Linked DNA regions of Caenorhabditis elegans. The protein of the gene in region 1 interacts with the protein of each later gene in a biochemical or structural test. Each region holds a gene or a part of one and is shown on either strand. Other genes may lie near its edges.

What was found.
Region 2: of the proteins of klf-1 (region 1) and wwp-1, one has a biochemical effect on the other in vitro, tested with the Caenorhabditis elegans proteins (one study listed by BioGRID).

What each region holds. Positions count from the first base shown.
Region 1 is NC_003281.10:2,868,889-2,885,197, forward strand, and holds klf-1 (Kruppel-like factor 1), read left to right. Parts: upstream 1-5,929; 5' UTR 5,930-6,004; coding exon 6,005-6,140; intron 6,141-6,701; coding exon 6,702-6,874; intron 6,875-7,787; coding exon 7,788-7,980; intron 7,981-8,773; coding exon 8,774-8,854; intron 8,855-9,439; coding exon 9,440-9,736; intron 9,737-10,406; coding exon 10,407-10,844; intron 10,845-11,026; exon of another isoform or gene 11,027-11,100; intron 11,101-11,206; coding exon 11,207-11,296; intron 11,297-11,443; exon of another isoform or gene 11,444-11,450; coding exon 11,451-11,536; 3' UTR 11,537-11,788; downstream 11,789-16,309. Other genes in the region: F56F11.2 (BTB domain-containing protein), read left to right, coding at 13,416-13,723, 14,022-14,292, 14,350-14,611, 15,660-15,802, 15,858-16,079. UniProt on the Caenorhabditis elegans protein: Transcription factor which modulates genes involved in lipid metabolism and the phase I detoxification pathway, including cytochrome P450 oxidases.
Region 2 is NC_003279.8:535,575-551,391, reverse strand, and holds wwp-1 (E3 ubiquitin-protein ligase wwp-1), read right to left. Parts: upstream 14,271-15,817; 5' UTR 14,255-14,270; coding exon 14,149-14,254; intron 14,090-14,148; coding exon 13,832-14,089; intron 13,787-13,831; coding exon 13,557-13,786; intron 12,691-13,556; coding exon 12,481-12,690; intron 12,307-12,480; exon of another isoform or gene 12,150-12,306; intron 11,940-12,149; coding exon 11,665-11,939; intron 11,598-11,664; coding exon 11,384-11,597; intron 11,329-11,383; coding exon 11,008-11,328; intron 10,670-11,007; coding exon 10,409-10,669; intron 10,329-10,408; coding exon 10,107-10,328; intron 10,049-10,106; coding exon 9,761-10,048; 3' UTR 9,194-9,760; downstream 1-9,193. Other genes in the region: ptr-21 (SSD domain-containing protein), read right to left, coding at 480-684; icd-2 (Nascent polypeptide-associated complex subunit alpha), read right to left, coding at 14,899-15,036, 15,086-15,493, 15,543-15,584. UniProt on the Caenorhabditis elegans protein: E3 ubiquitin-protein ligase which accepts ubiquitin from an E2 ubiquitin-conjugating enzyme in the form of a thioester and then directly transfers the ubiquitin to targeted substrates. Ubiquitinates klf-1.

The DNA.
Region 1 (16,309 bases):
TTTTAAAATTGAGCTCGCCGAGAGCTTTCAAATGACCCCCAACACGACTATGCTCCGCTCTCTTTGGGTCCCACCACGAAAACCCCTGGGGGTACTGTAGTTCTCGCGGTGGGACCCAAAGTGGGCGGAACCTAGGCATGATGGGGGTCATTCGAAAGGTCTCGGTGAGTTAAATTTGAATTTCAAGTTTTCAAACAAAAATAATTGAAAGTCCGTCAATTATTAAGAAAATTTAGAAAATGAAAAAATTGATCTTTGCTTTCAATCATTCAGTTTCATTAGCTAATAAATTATTTTTAGTGTCTTAGTATCCATCATTTCATCACCATTTTTCTTCTTATCTTTATCACTGATTAGCCGTGATAATAAATCACTGAATCCTTCGCGATTTTATGCAATTTTTTTTAAAGTTTCAGTTTTTTTCGCTAAAAAATATGTGTTATTTTGCTATTTTGAATTTTAAAAATTGAAAATTCGTGTTTGTCACGCTGAGAGCTTTCAAATAACACCCATCATGACTAGGTTCCGCCGACTTTGAGTCCCACCACGAAAACTACAGTACTCCCGAGGGTTTTCGTAGTGGGACCCAAAGACGGCGGAACCTAGTCATGATGGGTGTCATTTGAAAGCTCTCAATGTGCTGAACACAGAATTTACAATAATTTTAATATCAGAACCATGACTTTCGAAATTGGATCCAAAAAGTTGTAAACTCTCTTGAATGTACCATGTTTTGTGTCCATTCCAAGAATCCGAACACAGACTACAACAAGTCCATTAGTTGAGAGGGTAAAAAAAAACAAATAAACACAGAAAACGGTTTGTTTGTCATGCTCTTGTCGCTTATCATCTCCCTTATCACTAAAAGTTTCGCTTTTTTTTTGTGTCTTTTTCGCAAAACATTTGGGAGCATTTTTGCTTGGGAAATTCCATAGATTTCAAATTTGCTCCGAATTTATTCAATTTTTTTTTTGCTTGAAATTAAAATTTGTCCACTTTTTCCTCTAGCATCTTCAAAAAGGCATAACTTTGAAGGGAAACGTTCTATCAAAAAGTTTTTAACTAGCAAAAAATAGCCCTTAAAATTCTCTACAGTTTGTTAGTTAAAAGTTTTTTGATATCTCCACGCCCCGCTGAGATATGCGCGTTCAAAGTTTTAGATGTCGATAGAGTGTGGGAGGGGGAGAGATGCAGGCAGCGCGCGCACGCTGCGTCTCTCCCCCTCCCACACTATTTTGCCCCTTTTACTTTAAAAGATTATATCTCTGCGGAGAGAAGAGCTATCAAAAAGTTTTTAACTGAGGAATTGTGGAGAATTTTAATGGCTTTATTTTGTTAGTGATCAACTTTTGAAAAGTTGGTAAAGATCTCTAAAATGTTGAACTTTTGCATTTTTGTGCTGAAAAGGCCATAAAAACTACCAACTGATAAAACATTGCAAAATTTTTCTGCCTGTACTGCTCCAAATTCCATGTGACCAGGCACCACCTGTCACACACAAGAAATTCCATTTTTCTATGCTTGCTTCTTAAGTCATTAAAACACCGAAAAAATAAAACGGGGTAATAAACCGTTTCTCTGCGTTTCTCTTTACCGTCAAATTGGGGTGAATCGTAATCAGCAATGAACCTTCATTTAATACCTTAAGAATGGGAAGGAATTCCAGACATTTGACGTGTTAAGCATCAGTTCCTTCGAAAAAATGGATTTATCTCAACAACTACTTAGTAAATCAAAAATTTGCTAACTAATAAAATGTAGCCCTTAAAATTCTCTGCATTTTCTCAGTTGAAAATAGTTTTCTATCTCGTCTCTCAACTGAGATATCTTCAAAAAAGCATAACTCTGCAGGGAAACATTCTATCAAAAAGTTTTTAACTACTAAAATATAGCCCTTAAAATTCTCTACATTTTCTCAGTTAAAAATATTTTTCTAACTTGTCTCTCAGCAGAGATATCTGCGTTTAAAGTCCGGGCGTGGTAGAGAGAATGAGAGGGGGAGAGACGCAGGCGGCGCGCGCACACTGCGTCTCCCCTCCACCTCCACTATCTCGCTTGCACATCTTCGAAATGGCATAACTCTGAAAGGAAAAGAGCTAAGAAAAATTTTCAACTATTAAAATAGGAGAAATTTCAATGGCTATATTTTTGCTGTACACTATTTTTTTCAATTTTCGTATTTTGCACTTGAGCTTGAACTTTAATTGAAAATTCTATGAAAAATAAAACAAAAAACGGCCCAATTTTAAGATACTTATCTCATTTGACCTAAATTTGAAATTTCCCTTTCCGCATATACCCGGAATTATCAATTTTTTACGATCTCTCGCCAAGGGTTTTTGGGCGTTTTCTCTTTTACGCAAAATGGGAACGTCAGCGAATTTTTGGAATTAGGACAGAAAATGAGTATGTAATTATTAAAAAAATATTCTAAAACCGGATTATTTTGAAAATGAGTAGAATTTTGGAAAAGCGCAGGTTCTCAAAACGTTCAATTTTTTTCTGAGTTAATTTTAAACGCGTACATCTCGGTCGAAAAGAGAGATACAGTAAAATTTCCAACTAACAAAATATAACCCTTAAAATTTTCTATATTTTGGGAGTCAAAAAAAAAACTTTTTGATATCTCTTCTCCCCGCAGAGATATAACCCTTTAAAGTTCACAGGAGCTAAATAGTGTGGGAGAGGGAGAGACGCAGTGTGCGCGCTTAGCCTGCGTCTCTCCCCCTCCCACACTGTCTCGCCCTTTCAAACTTATATTGCGCATATCTCAGCGGGGAGGAAGGCTATCAAAACATTTTCAACTAACAAAATATGGGAAATTTTAAGGACTATATTTTCTGAATTAAAAAATTTTGATAGCAAACGTTTTTTCCGGAGATATAGGATATTTGTAAAAGAAAAAAGGTTTTTTTTGCAAACCTAAAAGGCTTAGCCACACCCTTAGACCTTCTAAACCACCAGTCATTTTTCTTTTTCCTCTCCAGAAGGAAAAGAAGAAACCGCATCATCATCATCATCATCATCATTAGATCTTTCTTGTTCCCGTGCCCTCTACCACACCCTTGTCTCTCTGCTTCTCTGCACTCTCTCAAGTGACAGTCTCTTTGTGTGTGTGTGTGTTTGTATGGCCTGCTTGGCTCCGCCTATTTTGCACGGGAAACAGCAGACGGCGGCGGCCCGCGGGGAGACGCCCTGTTCTTCTCCCCCCACCACCATCCATCTAAGAAACAGTGTGTGGTATGTATTTTCGTTTTTTCTCTCATTCTGTGTCTTTCACTTTGCCCTTCATTGGAATTTTTGAGATTTCCTGGAAATCCACTTGAAACATTTTTTGAAATTGTTTTTTCTCAAAAACTATTTGAAAATTCCAAAATTTGCTAACCTTCAAAATGTAGCCCTTAAAATTATCTACAAATTATCAGTTGAAAGTATTTTTCTAGCTCTTCTCTCAACAGAGATATCCAAGTTTAAAGGTAACAGGTGTTAGAGTGGGAGGGGGAGAGACGCAGGCGGCGCGCGCACGCTGCGTCTCCCCTCACCCTACGCTCTCTCGCATGATATCTTCAAAGTGGCGTAACTCCGCGGAAAAATGAGCTAGATAACTTTTTTAAAAACCAACTTATAGGAAACTTTTAGGACTATTGATTTGCGTAGGCCATAAATATTAAAGTTTTTGCTCTCTCTTTTGTCTGTGGCCGTATCATTTTTCGAAAAATAGCTTCATTGTATCCAAAAGTTTAAAAGTTATAAAATTTTAGTCTTCAATTTTTTTTTGCATAGCTAGTTTCGAGATATTGCAAAATTTTACGAAAAAGTTCCAATTTTTTTTCAAAATTTCAAAATTTCAATGTTTTCCTCTTAATTTTTATAGTACACAAAACTAATATTACATTTTTTTTTCCAATTTTTACTAATCACATGACACCCCCACTATGTCTTATGATATTCCCGTAACTGCTGACATTTTTTGAAGTCCACAGTACAAAAGGTTGTGAAATTTTTCGAATTTTATTTTCATATCTTTGACCTTAAAAACATTTTAATTTGAGTTTCTCGATTTTGCGGAACACTAGAACTAAATTTCCCGTCGCTGTCACCGAGATAAAGACTCATTTCGATGCGGTTCATCAATTTTTACCCATTTTCCGCCTTTTTTACATAAAGAAGGCATTTTAAACACGCTGAGGCCAGTGTAGATGAGATATCAAACATAAGAAAAAAAGTTACCACAGTGGGGACTCGAACCCAGGTGTTGTGGGTGGTAGTCATCTCTGTTATCCACCAGGCCAAAAGTTCAACTATTATTTTTTAAATTTTCAAGTTTCGACACATTTTTAGTCTGTAAACAATGTGTAAAAAACCGAAAAAAAAAACGTCGACCACAGTGGGGGTCGAACCCCGGTGTTGAGATTACCAATCACCAGTGTTATCCACTAAGCCAAAAATTCAATGTTTCAAATGTTTTTCAAAATGATTCAAAAATAGCTGATATGGTTGTCAAATTAACGGAAATTTTATTGGGAACTCGAATTTTTATATGAAAATTCCGGAAAATCACTAGTTTTTATTTTCACAAATTTTATTTTAACAAATCCCGCCGAAATTTAGTGTAACTATCGATTAATTTGGAAGATTGTTCTTATATAGTTCAGTTCCTTTTTCATTTCTCTCTCTTCTTTTTTCATCTTTTTCTTGTTTCTTCTGTGCGTCTCAAACTAACTGTCACATCACATTTACAATCGACGTGTAGTTAGTTCTGTCTCATTAATACTTCTAGTTTTTTCAACTATTTTCACTTTCTATTCTCACTCTGTAAAATCGATTCGTTTTTGCTGAAAATTGTTTTTTTTTAATTTTGAAAATTTCAAAGTAAAAAATTAAAAAAAAACCAAATTTCAGTCCGCTACGGTTTGAACTAAATGTTGTTAATAAAAATCTCTGACATACCAAAAAAAAATTGGAAAAAAGTTTTGACCCCAGCGGGGGTTCGAACCCCGGTGTTGTGAGTCCCACCCATCCGTGTTAACCACAAGGCCAAAAATTTAATTTTTTTGAAAAAATCGATATGGGTCTCAAATTGACGGAAATTTCGTGGAAAACCCGAATTTTTATGTAAATATTTCTGAAAATCGATATTTTTCGGGAAATGAACTAAAATCTCGATTTTTTTTTGTGAATTTTCATTTTCAAAGTCAAAGCGTCTACCATGTCAATTTTCAAAGCATAAACAATGCAAACAAAACTCGACAAAAATTTTGACCCCATCGGGGATTCGAGCCCCGGCCTTGTGAGTCCCAGCCAACTCTGTTAGCCACTAGGCCAAAAACTCGAAATTGTTTTTTTCCAATTTTGCAAAAACGAAAAATGATAGATTTTTATTGATTTTTAGAGATTTTTCAAGAAATTCCTCTGATTTTCTAATCAAAAATCATAAATGTCACATGACACGTTCTCCTGTTCCCGTTCTCAGCTGACAATTCATTTTCCCTACCATTTTTTTTTCGGCCGATTCTGTGTATCTCTGCGTTTCTGTCTATTTCTTCATTTTCTTATTCCTTTATCAAGTTTTTTGTTTCGGTTTTTATCTTTTTTTTTTGTTTCGGCTGTGTGTTGAGGAGGCGATGCATTACCCTCGAAAATGTAAAAGACTACGCCTTTTTTGGAAATTTTTGTTGGGGTTTTTAGGGAAAAATCACTTTAAAAAATTTTTTTCATAGATTGAAAACCAAACTTAAAATCGAAATCTTCAAAAATGAGCAAAAGATCGAAAAGCAAAAAATTGAAATTTTTTTCAAAATTTTTTTTTTCAAATTTTTTCAAAAAATAATTATTTCAAAATTTTCTCAAATTTAGATTTTCTTATGTACTTTTTCACAATTTACCCATTTCCCCTCTAAAAAATCTATAAAAATATCGATTTTTGCAGATGTTTGGGCCGGAAGGCTCCGGGTCACTCAGCTCCTCATCAAGTACACTACAATTCAATTCCACGTCATCCACGATGACGTCATCATCGATAAATGCCACGTCATCACGGGAACCATTAATACACATTCCTAATAAACCATCATTATCAATTGATCCATTGGCGCGGGCGGATAGATCAGTACATTTGTCACCGTCTTTTTTTCAACCAGGTGAGAGATGTTTTTTTATTTAATACCATCACTGAAAATATGTTTTCCTGATAGAATAAATTTTGTTGTGTTTGCCATAGAAAAAATTAAGTGAAAATCTTAATTTTTCGCTGAGTTATCGAATTTCGAAAAATTACAAAAAATTTTCAATAAAAATGTGTCCCACCACGAAAACTATGACTTTCTAGCCCGAAATTTAAAAATAATCAGATTTAAAATTTCACGAGCTTTCAGAAAAGTATAATCATGGCTATGTTTCGAAAATTTCGAAATTTCCCCGGGAGTACTGTAGTTTTCGTGGTGGGACCTAAAATTGACGGAGCCTAGGCATGATGGGTGTCATTTGAAAGTTCTCAGTGTGCTAAGTTCAAATTTAACAGTTTTGAAGTTTCAAGTTCAAGCTGTGCCTTAAAAGTTTTGATTTTTTGAAATTTTTCGAAATTTTTCGAAAATCGATAACTCTGCGAGTTTTTAAGATATTTGAACTATTCCAATTTCAAAATGTGCAGAAAACGTTGAATTTTTTTGCAAAAATATAACCAAAAATCTTCAAATTTTCAGGCCTCTCCTCAATTTCATCTGAAAACGACGATGCTGAACAGCGGATACATGAAGCAACAAGAAGCTTTAATCAATTCGGACATCAATTTTACGAATCAATTCGGGAACTTTCCGAGAGCACAAGTGCCTACGAAAGGCTGAAGGCCAACGCGTTGAGGAGGAAGCTAGAAAATGTTCGTTTTTTTTTGAGATACAGCTATCTTGGTTATATTATGTTAGGCCTATGCACCTTTAAACTTTGATTTTCGTGGCGGGACCCGGAAATTAAATTTTTTTAAGACTCCCTCTCAAAACCTAGTCATGATTATACTTAAATGAAAGCTCTCACCCAGCTGAATTTGATTTTCATATTTTCAAGGTCCCACAACGAAAAACCACCAAAATTTCAAAGCTACAGTAGTCACATGTCCTTTAACCCTCTTATCTCTCAGTCTCTTTGTCACTCTCAATTTTCCCGCCTTTTTGGGTGTGGTTACCGTCTTTTCTTGATGTCGGCGGCGGCGACCGTCTTGTTTCGCAAGAAAAAGAAAAATGAGAGTGAGAGAGTGAGAGAGTACGCAGAGAAAGAGAGTAGGGAGAACATTGGGCGTTGGCGCCTCTCTTTCTATCTACCGAAACACATACATAAAGTGAGAGAGAGAGAGAGAGTGATTGATAAGATTGAGAGAGCGCTGAGAAAATAGAGAAAATCTAGACCGGATTGTTCATCTTCCTACGAAAGACTAATTAATCGATATTAGAATGGAACAGATTTCACAAAAAAAACTTTTATTAACCGCAAAATTTCGAAAAAAGACCAAGAAATAGATAAACATAAGCCTAAGCCTAAGCCTAAGCCTAAGGCTGAGGTTAAGCCTAATCCTAGGCTAAAGCGTATGCATAAGCCAAAGCCTAAGTGTAAGCTTAAGCAGGAGCTTAAGTCTCAGCCTAAGTCTAAACCGAAGCCTAAGCCTAAGCCGAAGCCTAAGCCTAAGCCGAAGTTGACTCCAAAGCCTAAGCCTAAGCCTGAGCTCAAGCCTAAGCATAAAAATCAGATTTAAATATGGAAAAATTGAAAAATCCTTTAAAAATGTGTTTTTTTTGCAGACATTTGGAAATGATAGCGGAGCAGCAACAAGTTCAAGTTCTTCATCGGTTTTCGAAAGACAATCGGACTTTTCTGCATTTGCACCATATAAAAATTCACATTTTGACTCAACTCAGAGCCTTTTCCAACCGACAACTTCATTTAATGACCGTCTGGAACAGATCAAAAGTGATTTTATTGCAGAGCATCAGAGTGGGTTTTATTTTTGATTGAAAAATCTGAATTCAGCGTTTTGAGAGCTTTAATTTAAGTATAATCATGCCAAGGTTTGAAAATTTTGAAAATTTCTTGGGTCTTGCCACGAAAAAGATCTGGGGTACTGTAGGTACAGTTTCCAGGCTGCGAAAAGTATTTTTGTCTGAAAGAACAATTTCTGTTGTGTTTGTCAAACAAAAAATCTTATGTAAATCTCAATTTTTCGCTGAGTTATCGATTTTCGAAAATTGTCGAAAATTTGCCCACAATTTTGGGTGCCACCACGAAAACTATCAGTATTTCTCACAAGTTTTCAAACTATTCGAATTGTAAATTTTACGTGCTTTCAGAAAAATATATATAATCATGACTAGGTTTGGAAAATTTTGGGTCCCACCACGAAAATTCCCCGGGAGTACTGTAGTTTTCGTGGTTGGACCTAAAATTGACGCAGCCTAGGCATGATGGGTGTCATTTGAAAGCTCTCAACGTGCTGAGTTCGAATTTAATTGTTTTGAAGTTTTAAGTTCAATCTCTGCGTTAAAATTTAAAGGTTTTCGATTTTAAATTTTTCGAAATTTTTCGAAAATCGATAACTCTGCCAGTTTTCAAGATATCGGAACCATTCCCATTTCAAAATGTGCAGAAGAAATCATATTCTTCTGCAAAAATTAAAAACTCAACTAAATTTATCACCTAAAAAAAAGAAAACGCCTAAAGAAAATTTCTTATCAGGGACACCCCTGCAAAACACCCTCCGAATTTGTAAAAATTGTCATATATTTTTCAGAGTCAATGTCGTCATTTTCCGGATTCAACACACCGACGACAGCTCTCGGAGCAGCTTTTCAGGGCATGCAAGTCAAGAAAAGTTTGTGATTTTTTTTCAATTTTCAATTTTTTAAACTTTCTAACTAATTTTTTTTTGAAAATTATAGAAAAAATTGAATTTGTCGTGCAAAGAGCTTTTGAATAACACCCATCATGACTAGGTTCCAGTGAGTTTAAATTTTAAAGCACCTATGTGCCTTTAAATTTTGATTTTCGTGGCGGGACCCGGAAGTGCAGGCTTAGAGGTCACTGACAAATATTTCATCTGTTCATTTAAAATTTTATTAGCATTCACGATGCCTAAAACTTTATATTGATCTTCAATTTTCAACTTGTTGGGTCCCGGCACGAAAATCTAAATTTAAAGGCGCATAGGGTTTGAAAATTTCAAACTTAACCTAACCTAGCCAAGATGGGTGTTATTTTGAAGCTCTCAGTGTGCTGAATTCATATTTTTAGTTTAAAGTGTATTGTATGACAAGAAATGAGAGATACTGTAGTTTTTGTGGTGGGACCCGGAAATTTATTGAAAAGTTCAAAATCGTCAGAACCTAGTCATGATTATACTTAAATGAAAGCTCTTGGCTAGCTTGATTCAAATTTTCAAAGTAAAAATCATTTTCAGGTGCGTTCGCTCCAGTCCTGCTTCGAGAAAATCTGGATACCCGGCGCCCCGGGGGCCATTTGATTTCCGACATTCTGAATCGAGACCCGCTTCCACAATCTCGAAATCTTAACCTGAATATGGCTAGAAATGTCCCAATTCGGCTGATTCATTCGACTTCAAATTTCGATATCGCTTCCTCGAGCTCCGGAGATTCAGGCCATCAGGATCATGAGAGTATTGTTGTGGAGGATGCTGACATGGATAGTCCGACAAGTCCGTGTGTCAAAAGATCCGCAATGAATTTTGATTTAAGAGGTAAGGTTTTGAAATTGCGGAAAATTTTTTTTTTAATTCTGGAAAAAAAATTTTCCACAAAATTTTTTTTCAAAATTTTTTCTTCAAAATTAAAAAAAGTCGTCAAACTTCACAATTTAACTATTCTCGGCTCGTCAAGATCCTTCAAATGACACCGATCTTGCCTTGGCCCCGCCCACTTTGGGTCTCACCGCGAGAACCAGAATTTAAAGGCGCATAGGGTTAAAAATTTAAAAATATGCCGAACCTAGGCATGATGGGTGTTATTTTGAAGCTCTTGATGAGTTGAGAGCGATAAAAACAAAATTAAGGTAAAAAATATTTTTTTAGTTCAAAAATAATTTTTCGAAAAATAACCTTTTTTCGCGTTCATCACATCAAGAGCTTTCGAATGACCCCCATGATGTCTAGGCTCTGCCCATTTTGGGTCCCACCACGAAAACTACAGTACTCCTGGGGAATTTTCGTGGTGGGACCCAACATGGGGAGAACCTAGCATGATGGGGGTCACTTGAAAGGTCTTAACAAGCTGACTACAATAAAATATCCAAAACTTGAAAACAAGATAATTATAATACCAATTTTGTGCTGAAAAAAATTTTCTCCAAAATATTTTTTTTCAAAATATTTTTTTGAAAAATCAAAACTTCAAATGTTTTTTAATTTTTAGACGAACCTCTCACAGTGAACGTAGAAAGTGTGTCATCAACATCAGACCTTCCCAGCTCAGTATCCAGCTCTGTGAACTCCTTCGTCTACCAAAACTTTGACCCCTTGGAGTTTAAGCGAAAAATAGACGAACTGACGGCTTCAGCGTGTCTAGCTGTAATGCCAGACGCAAATGGTCAAGTCGATCCGATGGCCATCAAAACTCAGTTGGATGCTATCAAAAAACAAATGGAAGAGCATCAAACCCACATGGCAGAAGCCTCGCAAAGACTCCACGTGGACTCTTCCCTCGAGGATTCAAATTGCGAGCCGAGCCCGAGCTCATCATATGATGCTTCTGAACCATCTGTCAAGAGGCTTCACCATTGCACACATCCGAATTGCGGGAAAGTCTACACGAAAAGCTCACATTTGAAGGCTCATTTTAGAACTCATACAGGTAATACTTTGTTAATTGTACTGAACAAAATATTTTCTAGATTGAAAAAGCAATCATTACACCCAGAAAAAACCAAAAACATGCAGAAAGAATCGAACTTGGGACCTTCTGGGTCTCAGTCATCTCTCTTACCTATTGCGCCACCAGCGCCGTCGCGCCCAGCAACTGGCGCGGCACGCAGTGCGCGCGTGGCGCAGTCGGTAAGATGTCAGACTATGACCCAGAAGGTCACAGGTTCGATTCTTTGTCGAAGGATATAGGTTTTTCTGGATGAAAAGTTTGAAAATTTCAGTTTTAAATCTTGATAACTTCTCTTTAAAGTTGTTTTTAGAAATTTTTTGATGAAAAAAATCATTTTTCAGGTGAAAAACCATACGAATGCAGTTGGGACGGGTGTGATTGGCGATTTGCTAGATCTGACGAGCTAACAAGGCACTATAGGAAACATACAGGTAATTTTTGAGTGAATTAAAGGCGCATACACCTAAAAATTTTCAAATTTTCCCAAACCTAGTCATGATTATACTTAAATGAAAGCTCTCGTCGAGCTCTATTTAAATTATGCACTGCAATGCTAAGAAAAACAAAAATAATTGTTTTTTTCAGGAGACCGCCCATTCAAGTGCTCTCAATGTTCACGTGCCTTCTCCCGAAGTGATCATCTCTCACTCCATATGAAACGCCACTTCTAATCAAAAAAAACATGGTGCAACAGATTAACTAATTACGGGTTCCCAAAATGTATTTCTCAACTTTTTATCCGGTCATTACATTTTTTTTGGAAAATTTTTGAAAAAAGTTTTTTTTTTCAAAAATTTTCAAACTTCCCGCCAGTCACGTCTCAACATCGTGACGTCATTTTTACAGTTTTTTGAATGTTTTCTTGCTCAAAAAATGCTTGGTATCATCACTAAATACGGTCATATTAATTTTTGTCACATTTCACTTTCCCCCCCCCCCCCCACGTGGAAATCAATAAATACATATCGATTTTTTTTTCTGTGTTTTTTTTTTTGATTTTTCAGAGATTAGTAATTTGAAAAAAAACCAAATTGGAAAGGTTTTGAGCCTTTCAAAATTATTCAAAAATAATTTTTGGAAAAAATTTTTTGAAATTTTTTTTTTGAAAATTTCATTATACTTACTATTAAATTATTATTTTCATGTTTTCATATTCACAAAATGAAGAATTCCAGTTTTTTCTAAAATTTTAGATTAGATTTTCAACTATTTGGAAAAGTTGAAAATTGAAAATTTTCGAAAAAAAGCTGGTTTTTTTTTTTGAAATGTTTGTCTTGGAAAATTTGTTCTATTTAGTTTTTATAATACATTAAGTTGAAAAATTATTTTATTTGACAATTAATAACCATTTTGGCAATTTTTCAAAAAAAAAATTCAAAAAGAAAATTTCCAAAAAAAAATATTCTTCGAATTTTTTAAATTTTTTTGAAAAAACTTCACTAATATAAAATACCCCTCACAATAGTTTTTTTCCAAATAAAAAACCTCTCTCCATCACTTCCTGCGTCTCTTCTCCCTCTACCCAAATGTTGATCTTTCTCTGTCTGCGTCTCTCCCCCTCTCCTCTTTTTTCCCCATTTTTCCTGAAGAAATTTTCCGTTTTTGCTTGTTTTTCAAAGAAAACTTATATTAGAAAACGTAATAAAATATTACACACCCGTAGAAAAATAAGACTGACGAATGTATAATAATTCAAGTTTTTCATCAATTTCTACCATTTTTCGTAGATTTTTCCAGAAACTTTTCTTGATTTTTTTTCACAAATCTCTTCCTGTCTGCGTCTCTTATTACACTTTATCCTGTTTTTCTACAAGTGGCTCAAAGAGTGGGAGGATTAGAGCGAAAATTGATTTTTTTTTCAAGATATGGATGAACTTTCGCGAATAAATTTTCTCAGATATTTTAATTTTCCGCCAAAATATTTTTAATCAAAAAATTTGTATTTCCCGCCGAAATATTTTTAATCAAACAATTTAAATCTCCCGCCAAAATTTTTTTTAACCGGAAAATTTAGATTTCCCGCCAAAATTTTTTTAATACGAAAATTTGAATTTCCCGCCTAAACTTATGTATCAGAAAATTTGAATTTCCCGCCTAAATTTATAAATCAGAAAACTTGAATTTCCCGCCACATAGTTTTCATACAAAAATGTTGAATTTCCCGCCAAAACGTTTCCAACCTGAAAATTTGAATTTCCCGCCAAAACTTTTTAAATAAAAAAAATCGAATTTCCCGCCAAATCTTTTTTATTTGAAAATTTGAATTTCCCGCCTAAATTTATAAATCAGAAAACTTGAATTTCCCGCCACATAGTTTTCATACAAAAATGTTGAATTTCCCGCCAAAACTTTTTAAATAAAAAAAATCGAATTTCCCGCCAAATCTTTTTTATTTGAAAATTTGAATTTCCCGCCTAAACTTTTTTATCTGAAAATTTGAATTTCCCGCCAAATCCTTATTTTCACAGAAAATGTTAACTTCTCGCCAAAATTTTTTTAATACTAAAATTTGAATTTCCCGCTACAATTTTTCTAAGATTTTTCAGCAAAATGCACACCCAATATTTTCCGAATCGGCGCCCTGGCCGTATCCAGCCCCTTGGAATCCAACAAAACACCATCTATGTCTACGTAAAAGTGAAACATGTTCTGGAATTCTACGCAATTGACATTCGTCTACCGTATCATTGGCATCAAATTGCAAAACTAAATATTAGTGAGATGTCCTACACATTTTCCACATTATCACCGGATTTTCGGTACATCTATGTGCTCTTTTTGAGAGTGGCGCGAGAAATGGCAACGTTTGCTGTGCAAAGATTCGATTTGGAGAATAATGGAACAGCGGATTTGTTTCTGTAAGTTTTCATGTAAAAGAGCATTTAATTTAGACAATTTTGCTAGTTGGAAGTTTTTTGATAGCTCTTTTCCTAACAAAGTTATGGAGAATTGAAGTTCAGGTGGTGCGCGCGATGAGAAAAAGTGTGGGAGGAGGGGAGACGCAGATCACTTCACTGTCTCGTTGTCTGCGTCTCCCCCTCTCTCCTAAAAGTTTAAACGCTTGTATCTCCAGAACGGGAAGAGATATCAAAATACTTCCACCTAGAAAAATGATCAGAATTTAATACTCTATCTAGTCAACTACATGATTTTCAGCCTCAACGCAGCTGAAGAGCTCTACCGTGTATTTGAAGTGCCACTGGACAGTGTGACGCTCAGATGTGACTCAGGCGGACAGCTTGTTCTCTACGACAGATCCATTGTCCAAGGAGAAATTCCATTTTGGACGATACGGTTGGAAGAATCTACAAAAACATTTCGAATCTTGAAAAATTCAATTCCAACGGCAGGAGATGACACCGAACGGAACAGTGCACTTTTTACAATTGCAGTGGATCCAGTGAATCGGTGTTTCGCTAAATTAATGGTATCTAACTTATAAGAATATAAATTTCTAACTAATTTCAATTTAAAACCAGTTCAGAGCCCCCGAACTATGCTGGTGTACACCGAAGAACGAAAACGCTGGGTGGAATACCATATTCCTGTCGAACAATCCCTCCAGGACATTTTCGGATCGGATGGGTTTCCTGTGGAGGAAATACGTGGCATCCGAGAGACTTTTGGAACTCACGGACATCGTATGGGTGCACTGCAAACTCGGTTGACGTTTCATGATTTGAATGATGTATTGGTGGCGAGATGTTTGCATTTACATTGGAATACGACAGCTACTGTCGAGTTTGGTGGGTTATATCTTGTGAACTATGCGAGATATGGAGAAATTGTCAACTACAAAAGTGTAGAACACAAAATTTGGAGCATTTTGTTAGTTGAAAATTTTTTTGATTTTGATAGCTCCAGCTGTTGCAAAGTTACAGGGGTTAAAAGATTGTAGGGTGCACGCGCGCGGAGAGAGTAGGGAAGGAGGGGAGACGCAGACTGTCTCGTCGTCTGCGTCTCCTTCCTCACCATCTAATTTTTGAACGCGTATATCTTCATAACGATTAAAGATATTTAAAAAATTCCAATTACAAAAATTTTCAGAATTTAAAATTTTACACGATAAAGTAGTTATTTTTGTTAATAATAATAGAAAAATAAACGGGCCCGTTTTAAAGCTGAGATAATATCTAAATATTGATTTTGTTTAATTAATGTTATAAAACAGAAATTTCTGTACATTTTGTCAGTTGAAAATTTTTTGATAGCTCCAGCCGTTGCAAAGTTACAGGGGTTAGAAGATTGTAGGGTGCACATAGAGAGTAGAGGAGGAGGGGAGACGCAGACTGTCTCGTCGTCTGCGTCTCCTTCCTCACCCTCTAATTTTTGAACGCGTATATCTTCATAACGATTAAAGATATTTAAAAATTCCAATTACACAAATGTTCAGAATTTAATATTCTACACGATAAACTAGTTATATTTGTTTAAAAAAAAACAACTGTGTAGTTTTAAAACTGAAATAATATCTAAAATTTAATTTTGTTTGATTAATGTTATAAAATATAACTTTCTGAATTTTTTGTCTTTTGATAGTTTTTCGATACCTCTTTTCGCTAAAAAGTTATCCTGGTTTGAAATTTCCAGCTCTAGAGACTGAGAGAGGAGGGGAGACGCAGAGAGTGCGCCCTCTCTCGCTGTCTGCGTCTCTCCCTGTCTTCAACCAAAAGTTCAAACGCGTATATCTCCGAAACGGCTAGAGATATTTAAAAACTTTCAACTAGTAAAGTGATCAGAATTTTATTTTCTATCCATTCAAGCTAAAACCTATAAATAAAATTTATTTTTCAGACCATGTCAATCGAGAAATTCAGGTTCGGTTGCTTGCCAAGTTCCCATTAGACGACGAGGTGACCCGTATGTTTTACCTTATTGCATCAAAGGAACATCACGTGTTTCTAGGGGTTTATGATACTGCAATTGTTCATATTAAGGTGGTTTTTTTTTTTAATAAAAAAGCAAACATTTCTAAAAGTCTAAAATTTTCAGAGTCCAAAACTAGAAGAAATCGTTGGGTGGAGAATGCAAAAAATGCTTATGAGAGATGGCCATAAAGATGAAGTTTTACAAATTTCAAATTACCGTCAACTTCTTGCACTTGCGCTGACAAAATATGCTGACAAAGATGAAGATTTGGCTGAAAATTTGAAGAATTTGGGTATCGAGCCGCCGAGAAAGAAGCTGGTAGTGATGGAGATAGAATTGGATTGAAATTGCAAAAATTCAAACATTTTCGGTAAAAATAAATGATTTATATGTATACATATATATATTTTTTGTTGCTTTTTTTCAAATGCACAAACCAAAATTGCCGATGCTCCGGACAAAGATCAAAAGCTAAAAAAAAACAAAACAAAATTCTAGTTTTTATTGCCATTTTCCTCCCTTATTGAAAATAACATTTAATTGCTCCATGTGACTTTTCTCTTTTTTTTTTCAAT
Region 2 (15,817 bases), on another chromosome or scaffold:
TATACTGAAAATAGTTCTACTTTTATTATTATTATTATTATACTTTTTTTCAATTTTCACCGGTTAAACCTTTTGTTTCAAAATTCAGACGGCAAACACTTTTGCCTTTGCGGCTTAATAGTGTCAGGCTGTCTCATTGCGGTTTGATCTACGAAAAATGCGGGATTATTTTTCCAGAAAAATTGTGACGTCAGCACGCTCTTAACCATGCGAAATAGATGAGATATCTGCGTCTCTTCTCCCGCATTTTTTGAAGATCAAAGCGAAATGGGACTTTCTGACTCCACGTGGGTTTCAGGCAGGCGTCAGGCCCTAAAACCGTGCCTGTCTACCATGGAGGCCCTAAGTAAAATCATACAGTTTTTACATTTTTTGATTTCTAAAAAATATTTTAATGTTGTTTTTTCCATATTTTTCTTCTTTTTTGATCTAAAAAAAGATTTTCTCAAACTGTATTTTTTACGTCAAAAAAAACTAACATCCACCACTGCACATGATCACCGTCGCAATAATAAATGCAATCGGGAACCTGCCAATTATCTTCCCGCACACTTTATACATATCAGCCAACGAGATATTATTCACCGGACCCAACAGCTCAAAAGTCTTGTGTCGCGGCCGTGACGTGGCAGAAGCCGTCGTCGAGAGGACCGTCGGACGATGAACCAACTCGTCGCCCTCCATCTCAGGTCTCACCTGGAAAATGAAAATGCGGGAGTACTGTAGAAAATGACGGGAAACGTTTTGTGTTTAAAAAAAAGACGTTGAGAATCGTGGAAAAGTGACAAAAAGTGATAAAATGATGTGCTTTTTCAATAGCCACTAACTATAATATTATGCACCATGTGTGATAAAATGAAAAAAGATAAGAGTTTTTCGTATTATAGGTGTATTGAATGAATATTGAAAGGGATTAAAGTCAATGAATAGAAGGGAAAAATTGTTTATTTCTAAAAATGGAAGATATGAGATTGATAAAGAGATCATGAGTCAGAGATCAAAATCAGAAGGTACAAAAAATATTGGAATTTTTGTGTTGTTTGGTTTGAGAGTTCAATTTGCCTACAAGGCAGCCTACGACAGCTTACAAACCGACCAACGCAAGCCTAGAGGATCATTAATACCTGCCTATAAGTAAAATATGCCTGCCTACTAGGCGGCATCTGCCTGCCTTCAAGCCGACGACTTGTGCCTGACTGCAAGGATGCCAGCCACGAAGAAACCTTCACTTACCTGCGCCGGCTTACAAGGCAGCCGATGCCTAGTTAAGAAGCCTGCTACGCCTGCATCATGCCTACGCTTGCCTACTGGGCGGCTGACAGGCCTACTCATACCAGCAAGACAAACTACGCCTGCCTACAAAGCGACTGGCATCTCACCACAAGGCGGCCGAGGTCTGCCTACGAGGTATATTAGGTCGGCAGATAGGTAGGCACGTAGGCATGCGGGAAAGTGGCAAAACCCATAAAGTAGAAACAAAAAGTAGATGAAAATGGGTTCCTATCGACAGAAATACCTTTTTTTATTGGAAATTACTATCAGTAAAATTGATGGAGCCACCGAATATGTTGGAAATTCAGTTAAAAAATGGCTAGAAAAAAAGGAGTTCTACGTGGTTTACTGATAAGAGAAAAAAAATTGGTGGCCGAGTTTTGGAAATCTAGGCCACGGCCACGTGAACTTTTATTTATTTCGTGAATTTTTTCTACTCCGAGACAAAGAGCTCGAAGCTACAACTTGGAAATGGTAGCCGAGTTTTAGAAACCTAGGCCACGACCATATAAAAAGGGAACAAGCGACCTCAATAAATATTTTGAAATGAGAAATTCCCACCGAACAAAGTCTATATATAGGAAAAATGATTTTTGAAAAAAGAAAAATATATCGAAGGAATGAGTCATACGGGAGACATGAGATCATGAGAATTGAAATAAAACAGTCAGTTCTGAACACTGAAGAGATATGGGATTTTCGACAGAGAATTTGAGAAAAAGAGACATTTTTTTGAGAAATGTGTGACGGAATGAGGGGTCCGGGAGACATTTGATATGGGCAGCATAGGTGTGGGGAGCAGAGGTCGAAAGAACGTGTAGCCTAGTTTTTTGGATGGCCGAGTTTTTGATTTTTTCTAGGCCATATTGGTTTTTTTTGGACTTTTGGCTAAACTTTGTCGGAAAGTATTTCAAAAAAGGGAAAGGGGATTTTTTCCCATTTTTTAAAAGTTTTTTTTCTCAAATCTTCTAAAAAATTAGGGTTTTATACACAAAATCGCGTAATTTACACTACATGCTAAAATACACGCGGGGGGGAGGAGCCTGGAAGGGGAGTGTCGTTGCGACTTTTGACAGTGGCCATGGAAAACTGATTTTTATTAATGTTTTTTCATTTTAAGTCTTATTATAGAAAAAATACGATCGCAAAAAAATAAACAACGACACAACCATGGCCGAGAAATAAAATTGGTGGCTGAACTTTTGTTTTAATTTTTTTTCTTTTTTTTCGGCATATTTTTGAAACAAAATCGCTATTTGCTTTTGAATTTATCATTTAATAAACAACACGCACACTTTGCGGAGTATCGTTGTGAGATTTTTTTTTCTCAATTTTCAAGGGGTTCTGACCTACCTCATTGAATTTTTCGCGCTCCATTGATAATCTCTCACCGGGCAACGCGTGGGAAAGTCGTGTACTCCACACGGACACTTCACATTTAGTTTTACAACTAAAATCGAGGCGCGACGCGGCACGCAACGCGCCGTAAATCTATGCCAAATATGGCCGAGCCAAGTTGGCCTAGTTCAGCAAACTCTTCCATTTCAATTTATGAGGGAAGCCAGAAATCCGTGTCGAATTTGTAACCAAAAACCTTCAAAATGAATGTAATGAATCGAAAAATGAAATTTGTTGTTTCTCAGTGTTAACCGGAGACCCAGACAGTTGCAGAAATTTTTTGGAATAAAAAACAATAGATGGGCGCCCGATGTCGTGTGTTTTTTGGGAAAAATAATCAATTTGTAATAAGGTGAATATTGAATTTGGTGTGGATTTACGAGGGGATTGTTTTTTGAAAAACAATTTTTTTTTTCATTTTCATTAAAATTTTTCATCAAAATTAAAATGAAAATCACGGCTTCTCCCCAAATTTTTCGTTGTAATAGTCCTTGAGAGGCGAGAGATAGGGGGTACAGAGAGACGCAGACAGTGTCAAAAAATAAAATGAAATTTTCGGTGGTGAGAAAAGAGAAAGAGAAGAAGAAGAAGATCAATGGATCAATTGACGATGATTGATTGGGCAAAAAAAGTGCGATGGGCAAAAATTGAAAAAAATAGCCTTGTCGATTTACGCGACTAAGTGTAGATTTACGGGGAATTTTTTTAAAAATTTAATTTCAAAAATTGTTATTTTTTAAATTTAAATTTGGCATCTTATTTCAATTTCAATTTCGAACAAAAATTCAAAAAAAAAACTATACTGGTTGTCCGCGAGTAGTACACACCGGGTTTGTCGATAGAGCGCGCTTATCCACTGTTGCGGTTTGATCTACAAGAAATGCGGAAATTTTCGCCCAAAAAAAAGCGAAATCAGTTGAAAACTCTGCGTCTCTTCACCCGCATTTTTTGTAGATCTACGTAGATCAAGCCGAAATGGGACACTCTGACGCCATGTGCTTATCCAAATTTTCATAAAAAGTAAAAATGAACACATTTTGATTCCATTTCACTCAATTTTTCTCTCGTTTTTTTTTCTCGTTCGTAATGTGTATGTAAACATTGAAAGGGGGAGACGTGAATTATTTGCTAATTGACTCAATTTTTTTTGGCTGTCGAAAGAAAAAAGTAAGAGTTCACTTTCACTCAAGTGATATTTATTACAGGTGGGTCTCACCAAGAATATGGCCTAGCTTTGGATTTTGGGTCTCGAAACGAGAAGTACTATAGTATTAAGTTTGGATTTTTGGGCCTTGCTTAATTTTTTAGGTCTTAAAACGCTTTAGCAGCTGTAGGTAAATTAATATTGGGTCTTCAACCGAAATAAACCACAACTGTGCAATAGTTGGGTCTCGAAGCGATATTATAGGTATTTGGCAGAAAATGGTCGGGTGTTGGCTACTATGTATAGACGGGCGGTCAACCGGTAAGTTCACTCATAAGTGCTACCCCGCCTCCCACCATGATGATCTATACAATTATGAAACTTTGGTCGGAGACATTACAAATTGTTAATTTTTAATTTAATTAGGTCAACTTATTTGACGATTTAACTGAGGGTGGCCTAGAAAATGGAAATTCGGCCACCAAATGTTCGATAAAATTTGGGATAAAATTTTTGGTGGGAAATTCAAATTTTTTGAGACAAAAAATATTTTGGCGGGAAATTTAAATTTTCTGAGAAAACATTTTGGCGGGAAATTCAAATTTTTTGAGACAAAAAATCTTTTGGCGGGAAATACAAATTTTCCGAAAAAAATTTTCGACGGGAAATTTAAATTTTATGGAAAAAAAAATTTTTGGCGGGAAATTCAAATTACTTAGAAATTTGTGCTTCTAGGCCATTGTTTTAAAAATTATGGCCTAGAAAATAAAAACTCGGCCGCACAAATGCTCATTCCAAGCTTTAAATAATTTTTAACCTTTTTAACCCTCCAAAAAAGGCAAGAATCACCTGTGTAAATAATGGTTTATGAATTTCGGTTCGTCCTAGTTCATCAGTTTTATTTGTACAGGCTATCTCCACATGACCTCCCTTTAAAGTGTCAATAATTTTTTTTAGAAATTTAAAAAAACCGTAAACTTTAAAAGTTTATACAAGAAATGTTACACAGCAAAAAATAAATAATTGGGCTAAGCTATAAGTTTGCTCTGTTTGACAACATGTATCTCAGTTACTTTTGAAGCTATCAAAAAGTTTTTAATTACAAAAATATAGAAAAAGAAATAATAAACACTTTGTTGGTTGAAAAATTTTTGATAAAACAAACATGAAGCGAGATATAAGCTTTCAAAGTATATAGGTCCCGGTCGATGAACCATGTTCAAAATAGGGGTTTTTTTCGTGTTTTTTTTTCTAAAATTTTTTTTATTATTTTCAAATGCTTTGAGCCAATTTTATGATAATTTTATAATTTACAATTTTTAGTACTAGGGTGCGAGCGTACCCCAACGCCTTCGAAAAGTATGGCCTAGAAATTTGGAAAACTCTTCCACGCCCACGGGGAGCTTGTTTTTGAAATTTTTTACTAACCCATAATATATTGATCTCTAAGAAAAAATGAAAATTTAGGCTTTCAAAGAAAAAAAATGAAAAATTGGAAGAGCCGGGGGGTCTTATAAGAAATATAAATTTCTAGGCCACGGTCGCACTCCGGGTAAGGGGCCAAGCGTTTTAGAGATTTTTTCTTGCAAATTGCAGGGTTTATAATTAGAAAAATAAAAGGAAAAAATACAAAAATTGTGTAGATACGCAGATAGGTAAAGGAAAATGTACAGTCAAATGAAATTGGGGGGGGGGGGGGGGGGGGGGGGCTGATTGAGGTGAAAAAGGGGAAACCGGTTAGAGACAGGCAAGCGGGGTGGAGGGGGGGGGGGGGGGGGGGCAAAAATTGTATTCAATTGATTATTATTTTTGTTTCGTACATTCACATACCACTTTTTCGTTCCAAAAATTTAACAGAAATAGCTAGACGCAGACAGGTACAACGGGGAACAAGTAGTCGATTTAGAGGGGGGGGGGGGGTTGATTGTTTGTTAAGAGGGGCAGGTAAATGAGAGAGTAGTGATAGGGGGCAGACTCTGATTTATGAACTAACAGACAGTGTTTTATAAGAGAGGTACAAAGCGAACGCGGCCTAGTTTTTCCTTTCTCGGCCACTGTTTCTTTGAGCATGGCCTAGGTTTCTCCAATGAATTTTGTAGAGAAGGGTAGGGCATTCCACTTCACCCTAGTGGCCGTGGCCTAAATTTTCGTTTGAACGGCCGGACGGTGGTGTTAGAGTGTCTCGTTGTGGTTTGATATACAAAAAATGCGGGAATTTTTCCACGGAAAAAAATGACATCAGCACGTTCTTAACCATGCGAAATCAGTTGAAAAGTCTGCGTCTCGTCTCCCGCATTTTTCGAAGATCAAACCAAAATGGGGCAATTTGACACCACGTAAACCTCGTGGCCCAGTTTTTTTAAAATTCGGCCACCACTACCCGTGGCCTAGGTTTCTCTAAACTTGGCCAAAGGACGTTCAGTTTATCGTGATTTATGCTGACTTTTATCAGTTTCGAAAAAAAACCACGTATACCTCAGTTTTTCAGCCGTTTTTTGTTCGGAATTTGAGCACCGCAGTAGCTCCATGTTCTTCTTATCGAAGGTTCTGATTACAAATTAGAGTGTAGGAGTTAAATTTGTATGGAGAATTTTTGGTGCATTAAAAAATCTAGGTCACATGACAGAAATCTAGGCCAAATGCCAACAATCTAGGTCAGGTGCTATAATAAAAATCTAGGTCACATGTAAAAAATCTAGGCCTAGTAGCAAAAACCTAGGCCACTTGTTAAAATAAAAATCTAAGCCCCGTGTTAAAATAGAAATCTAGGCCACGTGTTAAAAATCTAGGCGAAGTATCAAAAATGAGAGCTAACTGAATGGTGGCCTAGGATTTTCATTACAAATTTTGTTAAAGATTCTAGGCCACGTCAAAAAGGGTGGCCTAGAATGTCTATGAAAATTGGTGGCCGAAGATTTGCATTTCTAGGCGTCGTAAGAAATACGTGATGGACTAAGACTTTCTGGGTCATGTGAGAACTAGTCCGTCTTTGCAAGACTCTAACTGGTGGCCTAAAACTTCCAGGAAAAAGCGCTTGCAGTTTTCTAGGCCACGTATCAATCAAGGGGTTTATAACCCTAAAAATGAGTATTTTCCTTGGAAAAAAAGGTCGTAATAAGCCAAATTTAGGTGTACACTGCTTCTATATAAATACGACAAAAAACTTTGAAGAACAATACACAAAAATCTTGTATTTTATATGTACATGGGGTTAATTCGATCAAAATTTTGAGTAATTGTCTTAATTAATTGCGCAAGTGCAATCATGCGCGCAACTTACAACACAAATCACAGTGATATCATTTGTTTGATAAAACGTCGGGAGGAGAGGTTTTGGTGGCTTAGAAATGCGGAAAACTCTTCCACTGGAAAAGTATTATCATCATATTGAAAAGTAAGTTTTAAATGTTATAATGGTGTAGTTTTGGCGAAAACGGATGGAAAATGGCCGAGTTATACTAATTTGAAATTTCTAGGTCATATTGGCAAGGGCGCTGGAAGAGGAAATCTCAACATTTCTAGGCCATCGTTCTAGACCCAAAGCTCACAGTGAGCATTGTGCCAAGATCATTTTATTAGGTTTTAGGGAAAGAAAACTGAATTTCGAATTTTGAACAGAGCGAAATTTTTTTTTTTTTGGAAATTCAATTTAGTAAACGAGCTCTGGTTTGGTGGTCCCGACGCGAAAAAAAAACAATTGAGTTTTTCCAAAAAATGAAAAATTTTTGCGTTGATGCACCATGTTTTACCACGGGGTTCTGGCCTTCCTCATTTAATTTTTCGCGCTCCTTTGACAATCGGCCGCCGGACAACGCGTGGGAAAGTCGTGTACTCCACACGGACAAATCACATTTAGTTTTACAACTAAAATCGAGCCGCGACGCGACACGCAACGCGCCGTTAGTCTACCCCAGATATGGCCGAGCCAAAATGGCCTATTTCGGCAAAAACTCTTCCATTTCAATTTATGAGGGAAGCCAGAAATCCGTGGTACCAACAAGAAAAAACCAAAAAAAAATAAAAAAGAAGACGAAATTGATTGTGTTCTGCTCGTCGTTTTTTCTTCGTCTTCTAGTGCCGCCGGAGCAAAAAGTGCCTAATTTCGGATGGAGTGAGGGGACCAGTGAGCAGTTCCTCTTCCTCTCCTTCTCTAATTCTCTCTCAATTTCTCAATTTCCAATTCTGACGAGCGGGTATCAACAATTCGACAGCGAAACTCTGAACAATTTATTTTAGGGAAAAAATTGAAAATTCAAATTTTCAGTTCAAATTGGTGTTTTTTTTTCAACTAAAAATTCAAATTCGACCGTGAGTTGCGATCGGCGCCACAGTTTTCAATGGAGCGCCCTTGCAAATTGAAATTTTTGGGATTTTTTTTACTTGGATCACGGATTTCTGGCTTCCCTCATGAATTGAAATGGAAGAGTTTTTGCCGAACTAGGCCATTTTGGCTCGGCCATATCTGGGGTAGATTTACGGCGCGTTGCGTGTCGCGTCGCGGCTCGATATTTGTAGTAAAACTAAATGTATTTGTCCGTGTGGAGTACACGACTTTCCCACGCGTTATCGGCGGGCGATTGTCAATGGAGCGCGAAAAATTCAATGAGGTAGGCCAGAACCTCGTGAAACGCTTCAATGGAGACATTTTGTTTGGTTCGCTAGAGCGCGCTTGCTACACAATTTTTCTTCAAATTTTGAGTATTATTGACGAAAAATTGAGAAAAAAATAACTTTTTTCAAGAAAATCATTGAATTTTTCTTTTCTTGGGTTAATCGGAAATATTCAAATTTTTATAATTTTTTTCGGTAATTTGAAGGTTAGTTCGCTGGAGCGCATTTGTTGTACAGTTTTTTTTATTTAAAAAATCATTGCCGGAAAATGGCAAAACAAATTCAAAATTTCATCGTTTTTTTCAGTAATTTAAATTTTTTGGTGGCGGTTTTGTTTTGTACGCTGGAGCGCATTTGCAACACGGTTTTTTTTTTCAAATTTCGAAATTTCTAGTCGTAAAATGGAAAAAAAAATGAATTTTTAGAAAGTTTTTAAAAAATCATTTTAAAGTTAATTTTCGCTGCGGGACCCAAGAACACTTTACGAAAAAATCAAGAAAAAAGCAAGAGCTCCCCGAATCTGATAAAAGCTAAAACGTGGAGCAATAAGAAAAATCGAAAGTCCGAAATAAAACGAATGAGGCTATCCATCCTCTCCGCTGGTGCAGAGAGAGAGGAGAGACGCAGACAGCCGAGACATGAGTGACCAAAGGGTCCCGTCCTTCTCCTGCAGGGTTCAAAATATTGATCTTCTGCTCTCCGTGTGTTCCGCATGGAAATTCTGAAAGTTAAGAAAACCTAAAACAACAAAAAAGGCTCAAAATTTAAAAAATTAAATTCATTACAACCAAATCGAGGAATTGTGTTTTTTTTTGTTTTCAAAAAAAAAAGTAGAAATTGTTCTAATCGGGGGGTGACGGATTGGTTGGGGGGATGCATTTGAATTAATAATCGAGAGCTGCTTCCGTGAAAAAAACTGGAACTAAGAATGACAAGGACCAAGTAAGAATAAGGCGCAGATTGGGTGGTGGTGGTTGAAATGGTTGAGAAGAAGAAAAGCAATGAAGCAATGGACACAAAAAAAATATTTGAAAAGTGGTGGAATTGTTTTTTTGTTGTTGGAATTAAACGGGAAATTTGGAAATTAAATCCAAAAAAACTAGATGCTTTGTCTATATTCTAAATATAGGTACATACCCAGAAGGAAAGGAAAGAGAGAGAGAGAACCTAAGCAAGTGGTATCACAACACGAAAATTATCACACAAATTCGAAAAAAAGAAACATTAATTGATGGAGAGAAAAAAAAGGAAAATCAATGGGGTGTGGGTGAGAAGAAATATGAGGGTTATACAATAATTAGGCGGCCAGCAAAACCAAAAAAAAACAACGGGAGACTACTCGTTTCCAAATCCTTCCGTCATCTCGATCGCCATGCTCAACTTCTCGACGAGCTGATCGTAGCTTCTGTATGGCGGCAAGTCGAGTCGATTGAAGCACGTATGCGACCGTGGGAGCCAGTTCTCCTTGCCGACACGCTCGATACAGAATAGTTGTGGTCCCGTCGAGCCCATCAGCTCGGAAAATCCACCGACTGGCACACGGCACGTTCCTGTGACGAATTGTAGGAGCCGGGCACGTTTTTCTTGGTCCAGACTTCGAACCCATTGCCAGAACCAGGTTACCTATAAATGTATTTTTTAATTAAAAAAAAAGAAGTTTTAATCAAATGTTCTCCCCTACCTGCTTGCTCTGTGGAGCATAATGTCTGTAGACAGTATTTCTCTGCCAATCGTCCACATCAACGTCCTGCATTCCGCAGAGCAACAGCTCGAGCTCTCTTTCATCGAAATACTGCATCCATTCCAACGGGAAGACCGAGTTGAAGCCGGTGAAGAAGGCTTTTGTCTGTTGTTCGACACCGCGATTGAAGCGCCACTCAACGAGCAGTTCGATGTATTCAAGCTGGAAAATTGGGATTTTTTAAATTAAATTATTTTATTTAAAAATTATTTTTATAAGCTCTAGCTAATCCAAAATCTCACCTTATTCTCCTCGGTAACAGCAATCTCTGTACCGCCCTCCTTAAGCTCATAAGTCTTGAGCTCGCCGAGCAGCTCGTAATCGGCAACAAAATAGAGCTCCATATCGCATTCATCGATATTGTTATCCTTGATCCACATCAATGAATTATAAATTTCCGAATCGACTTGTTCAATGTCCTTTAAAACAATCTTCTTGTTGAGCATCTTTTTGTAGAATGGCATCGTGAAACCGCTGTAGATGAATTTCCCGTGGAATAGCGCCTGGAAATTTGAAAATAAAGGAATTTTCTAAGAAAAACTATTTGTTTAAATAAAAATAACATTTTTAGGAGAAAATGAAATATATTGATCTGAAAATTTGAGATCATCGAAATTTCCAGGTTTTTTGAGCTGAAAATAAAAAAAATCGATATTTAAGGATTTCCTTCATCAAAAAACAAAAATTTTAGATCCAAGTGCTTTTTTTTGGAATTTTCTGCAAAATTTAACGTTTAAAATTTTAAAATTCAATTGTAAAAAGCGGAAAACTCGATTTTCTCTCGATTTCGCAATTTTTCATCCAATTTTCAACTGATTTTCAATTAAAAAAAAACACTCACCATGGCAATGAATCGTCCAATATACTCGAAATACTTAAGATGATCCGGGTTAACAAATGAAGCTGGATTGATTTGAAGACTATAATTGTTATTACCAGCATACATGAATAGGCAATACATTGGATTCAACACTTCGTGCGACAGCAGGAAGAACCATTCTCTGGCGACACCTCCATAGTCGAGACCCTCTTCGCCTCGGAATTGAATGTACAGCCGCCGGCGTAGATCGACTGCATTTTTACGCATAATTTCTTGGAATGAGTCTTCGAACACGTTATTACGGGATACTGTGATTTTGACATGATTAGGCACACTGTTTGACTGAAATTTACATCAATTTATAGCTAAAATCAAAGAATTTCTCGCCCTCCCTTACCAAGCATAAATATCTGAATTGTGCAATTTTCCACCGGAAACTCTTCTCCATGGCCATTTGAACACCGACGACGCCGAGCGGGCCGACGGGTTTTCCGGTTCTTGGATCATTATAGGTGGTGGTTTTAGACTGGTGATCGATGAAGAATGGAACGCCTTGCTCGGTGAATCGCATTTCCCAACCATCCGGAAGAGGTTGGTCGGAGCCTCTGAAACTTTTAAAACATTAAAACTGTGATTTTTGATAGAAATATTATTGGAAAATTGAAAATTTTCACATACCCCTGTGTTCTCGGATCTTCCCATTGTGTCGTTCTATTTACATGATTCACAAAGTACATTCTCGACGTATTCGGATCCTGACGCTTCTCCCATCCTTCGGGCAATGGTCCGAGTGGATCGTCGGCGCTAAAGTTGTTCTGCTGGAGAAGGAAACGTTGTTCCCATTGAAGCATCGCCTGATCTCTTCCCGATTGCCATTGTTCGTGTGCTTCAAGCATATCGGCTGTCGGTCGTTGCCAGGTGGTCGTGCGCGTGTTGTGATCCACGTAATACACCTGAAAATGGATTGTGCACCTGGCGTGAATTTTTAGACATTTTTCAAGTAAAAATCACTGGAAAGTTTTTTTTTTTTCGATTATCAAATAATTGGAGACCTTGGTTAAAATAAAGAAAATCAGAATTTTTTATCCGTCGTTATAATTTCCTAATTTTCAGGCCGTATTTAAAGAAAAAATTTCAAAATTTTCTCGAAAAAAAAAATTATGGAGGATCAAAATTACGAAAAATTGCCTGAATTCAGCAAAAATCTTCAATTTTGTCAGTTTTTCTGTGTTGGAAGTTGATTTTTACTTTATTTTTGGCCTATTTCGATGCAATTACAAAAATTTGACAAGAAATCAACAAAAATAAGACACTAATTATGTAAAAATCAAGATTTTAGCCTTAAAATAATTTATCAGGTCACTTTTTTCGGCATTTTGGTCCAGGTATCCGCGGCTACGGTAGATATTTTTAATTTTGATGATTTTCGCATCAAAAATATAATCAGAAACGCTTTTCTCGTGCTAAATCTGCTTTTTCCGCCGGAAAACTCACTCTTCCTCTCGGATCTCTTCGCATTTCCCATCCCTGTGGCAATGGCTGAGTAGACGGGCGTTCCCACGTGGTGCTCTTGGTGGTGTGATCCACGTAGTACTTGCGTCCGTATTGATCGAAACGCATCTCCCATCCATCGGGAAGCTGTTCTTCTGCTCCGGCGGCCGGGGTGCCGCCTGCTGTTGCTGCTGCTGCCGCCGCTGCGGTACTCTGCAAATGAAAAGTAAACATTAAGAGTAGTAGAGTAATGCATGTATTTGACAACATTTTGTGTATGATTCTGTAGCATTAAAAATGCAGAGAAAAGAATAAAAAACGCTCATTCACGCTCTCCTCTAGTGTTCATAATTATTAGAGCGCGCTCGCGCGGCACCTCACGAACTCCAGAATTCGCGGGATTTCGTTTCGCGGGGACAGCAGTTTTTGGCTATTTTTGGCTTCTATGGAAATTATTTTTAACGAAAACTGAAGGTTTACAGAGAGGAGTCACCACGACTTTCTTTAAAATGTATCAGTACCGTCAGTTTTTTCGATTTCAGAGTCGTAAAATATGTCATTTTGTAGAGAAAAGTCTGTTTCAAAAAAATCCATGTTTGAAATTATGAAATTGTTCTTATTAAAAACTGAACGATTGAAAAATTCGATTTTAACGTAAACTTGTTGATTTTTTGAATATTTTTATATTAGAAATTAAACAATTAAAATATCAAACATGGATTTTTGTGAAACAGACGTTTCTCTACAAAATGACATATTTTACGACTCTGAAATCGAAATACTGACGGTACTGATACTTTTTAAAGAAAGCCGTGGTGACTCCTCTCTGTAAAACCTTCAGTTTTCGGTCAAATTTCATAATTTTACACATTTTCAATTTGGATGATGCTTCTCAACAATATTTTAAATCAAAAAATTAAAAATAATTTCCATAGAAGCCAAAATAGCCAAAAACTGCTGTCCTCGCGAATTCTGGAGTTCGTGAGGTGCCGCGCGAGCGCGCTCTAATAATTATGAACACTCCAGTAGAGCGTTTCATGAATAATTAAATAATTCAAAATGGGTCTCGTCACGATTACCGTTGGAGCCGCCAAAGTGTCACGCTTCGCTGTCGCCGGTCTCCGCGCCGAGGATGACGTGGCAACGCCATTTGACGTGGATGCCTCTGAACTTGCAGACGCGGCGGTTTCAGCTCGTACTCCTGCGCTTCTTCGTTTCCGCTCTGGATATCCGGAGAAAATTATGTTGAGAGTTCCGATTTTCGAGGAGTCTTTGGCCAGCAAAGATATATTGTTGATGTCGTTTTTGACTGAAATAATAGATTTTTTGAGAAAATTTCAATAAAACCACTTACACTCTCCATTCTCATTTCTTGTGAGACTCGAAAGCTTCAGCTTCGCCATCCCTAGACACGTGTCATCGAATAGCTTGGCTTTTTGCAATAGACGAAACGAAATTGTCGAAGATTCATTTGCATGAACGTTGAGATGTTCATTCCACTCGGGCGCCATCGTCTTCTTCTTTACAGTCGTCTTTTTTGGCGCCGCCGATGACGTGTCACTCGTGATTTCGACATAGCAGTCGGCTGCCTTGGTGAACGACGCGTTGACGACTATGATTAAGAGGGGGAAATATTATTAGAACAGATGCAAAAAATCTACGAATTGTTACCTTTTACTGTGACTTTTGATGGTTTTGCCGACCCGTTTTGTTGTGCTGGAGTTCCATTACTCCCGGAACTACTCGGCTGCTGAGATGATGGTTCATTACGAGCCATTCGATCATGAAACTGGCTGAAAATTTCGCAATTCCAGAAAAGATTTAGAAATGAAAAGTCGGCGAGAAAGGAAAAATAAATCCACGTATCACAAATGACAGCGAAACGGTGGGAATGAAGATGTTAAGTACTACTAGTCAGTATTATCGATCGATTTCCAACTGATAACACTGGAAACCATGTGAAAAAATCTATAACAGCTCGCAGTAACTTGCCATTGGCTGCTGGTCGATGCGTTTTGTCATATGACCTGCACATCTAACGCCGTTTCGCCCGCGCATTCAAACGTGTTTGTTGGGGCGCGCTTGCTATTCAATAGCATTTTTCACATACACACAATTGGTATTTGCTGTTGATATAAACTGGAATGTCATGATAAAGTGATAGCAGGTGAAATGAATCACAGTCATACGAGTAAAGAATTGGAAGAAGTGAAAGTTCTCGATCAATAGAGGGGTGTTTTACACAAACAGTGATTTAATTGTTCTTTTCTGTAAAAGGTAGGTCAATTCGAAGATGCAATTGTTTTTTAAACATAACAAAAAAGTTAAAAAAGACTGATAAACGTTTACTTGGAACGGAAAACGGGATAAGCAAGAGATACAACGATAACAAGAGTATCTGCAAGGTCATCAGGAAACAAGCTACATGGTAAGGCTCATGATGGCATTGACGATGTCATTGTCAGCTTCCTTAAGCGCCCTGATGGCCTTGTTGCGGGTGGTGTTGGCTTGGGAAATGACAAGCTCGATGTCCTTCTCCTCAATGCCGGTGGAATCCTCCTTAAACCGTACAATTAATGTAATAAATCCGATTAAGTTACTGAATTACCTCAACATCCTCATTCTCGTCCTCTTCGACAGTCTTGAGTTGTGGGGCCTCACGAGTTGGCTTCAAGTTCTCAATAGCAGACATCTGGGCGTGTTGGGTGAGATCCTCGATCTTGGCTTCTCCGAAGATGATGTAGGTGTCAGATCCTGGGCTCTTGAACACGTCTGGCTTGTTTATGACGAAGAGGATGTTCTTCGACTTGCGAATGCAGACACGGGAGACACCAGTCACTTGCTTGAGTCCGAGCTTGGAGAAGAGCTTGCGGGCCTTCTTCTCGGAGCGGCTTTGCTTGGCCTGCTTGTCGATGTGATCTCCAAGTCCAGCAGCCTCGGCCACACGTCTTTGCTCCTCGGTGAGCTCTTGCTCGACGGCCTCGTTGTCGGAATCATCCGAAACGTCAACTTGTGGCTGAAATATAGAAATTTAAATATTTTAGACGTCACTTTGAACAACCAACCTCCTTGACTTCCTTCTGGCGAGTTTCGGTGCTTCCGGTCATTGTTTAATGTGGTAACCCTGAAAAAAACGTTTATGAAAGTTTACAAATTTGAGAGAAACAGGAGTTTCAAAGAGAATATTACAAAAAAAAGATGAAAAACTTGTAAATTCAAAATATCCACACATTTTTCTTGGTAGGAAAGCTTTAATCGAGGAAATTCAAGCTAACTTTTGCACAATCTTAGAATATACCCATTACTACTTATTCTAGATTGGATTTTCATGTTTTTGAGG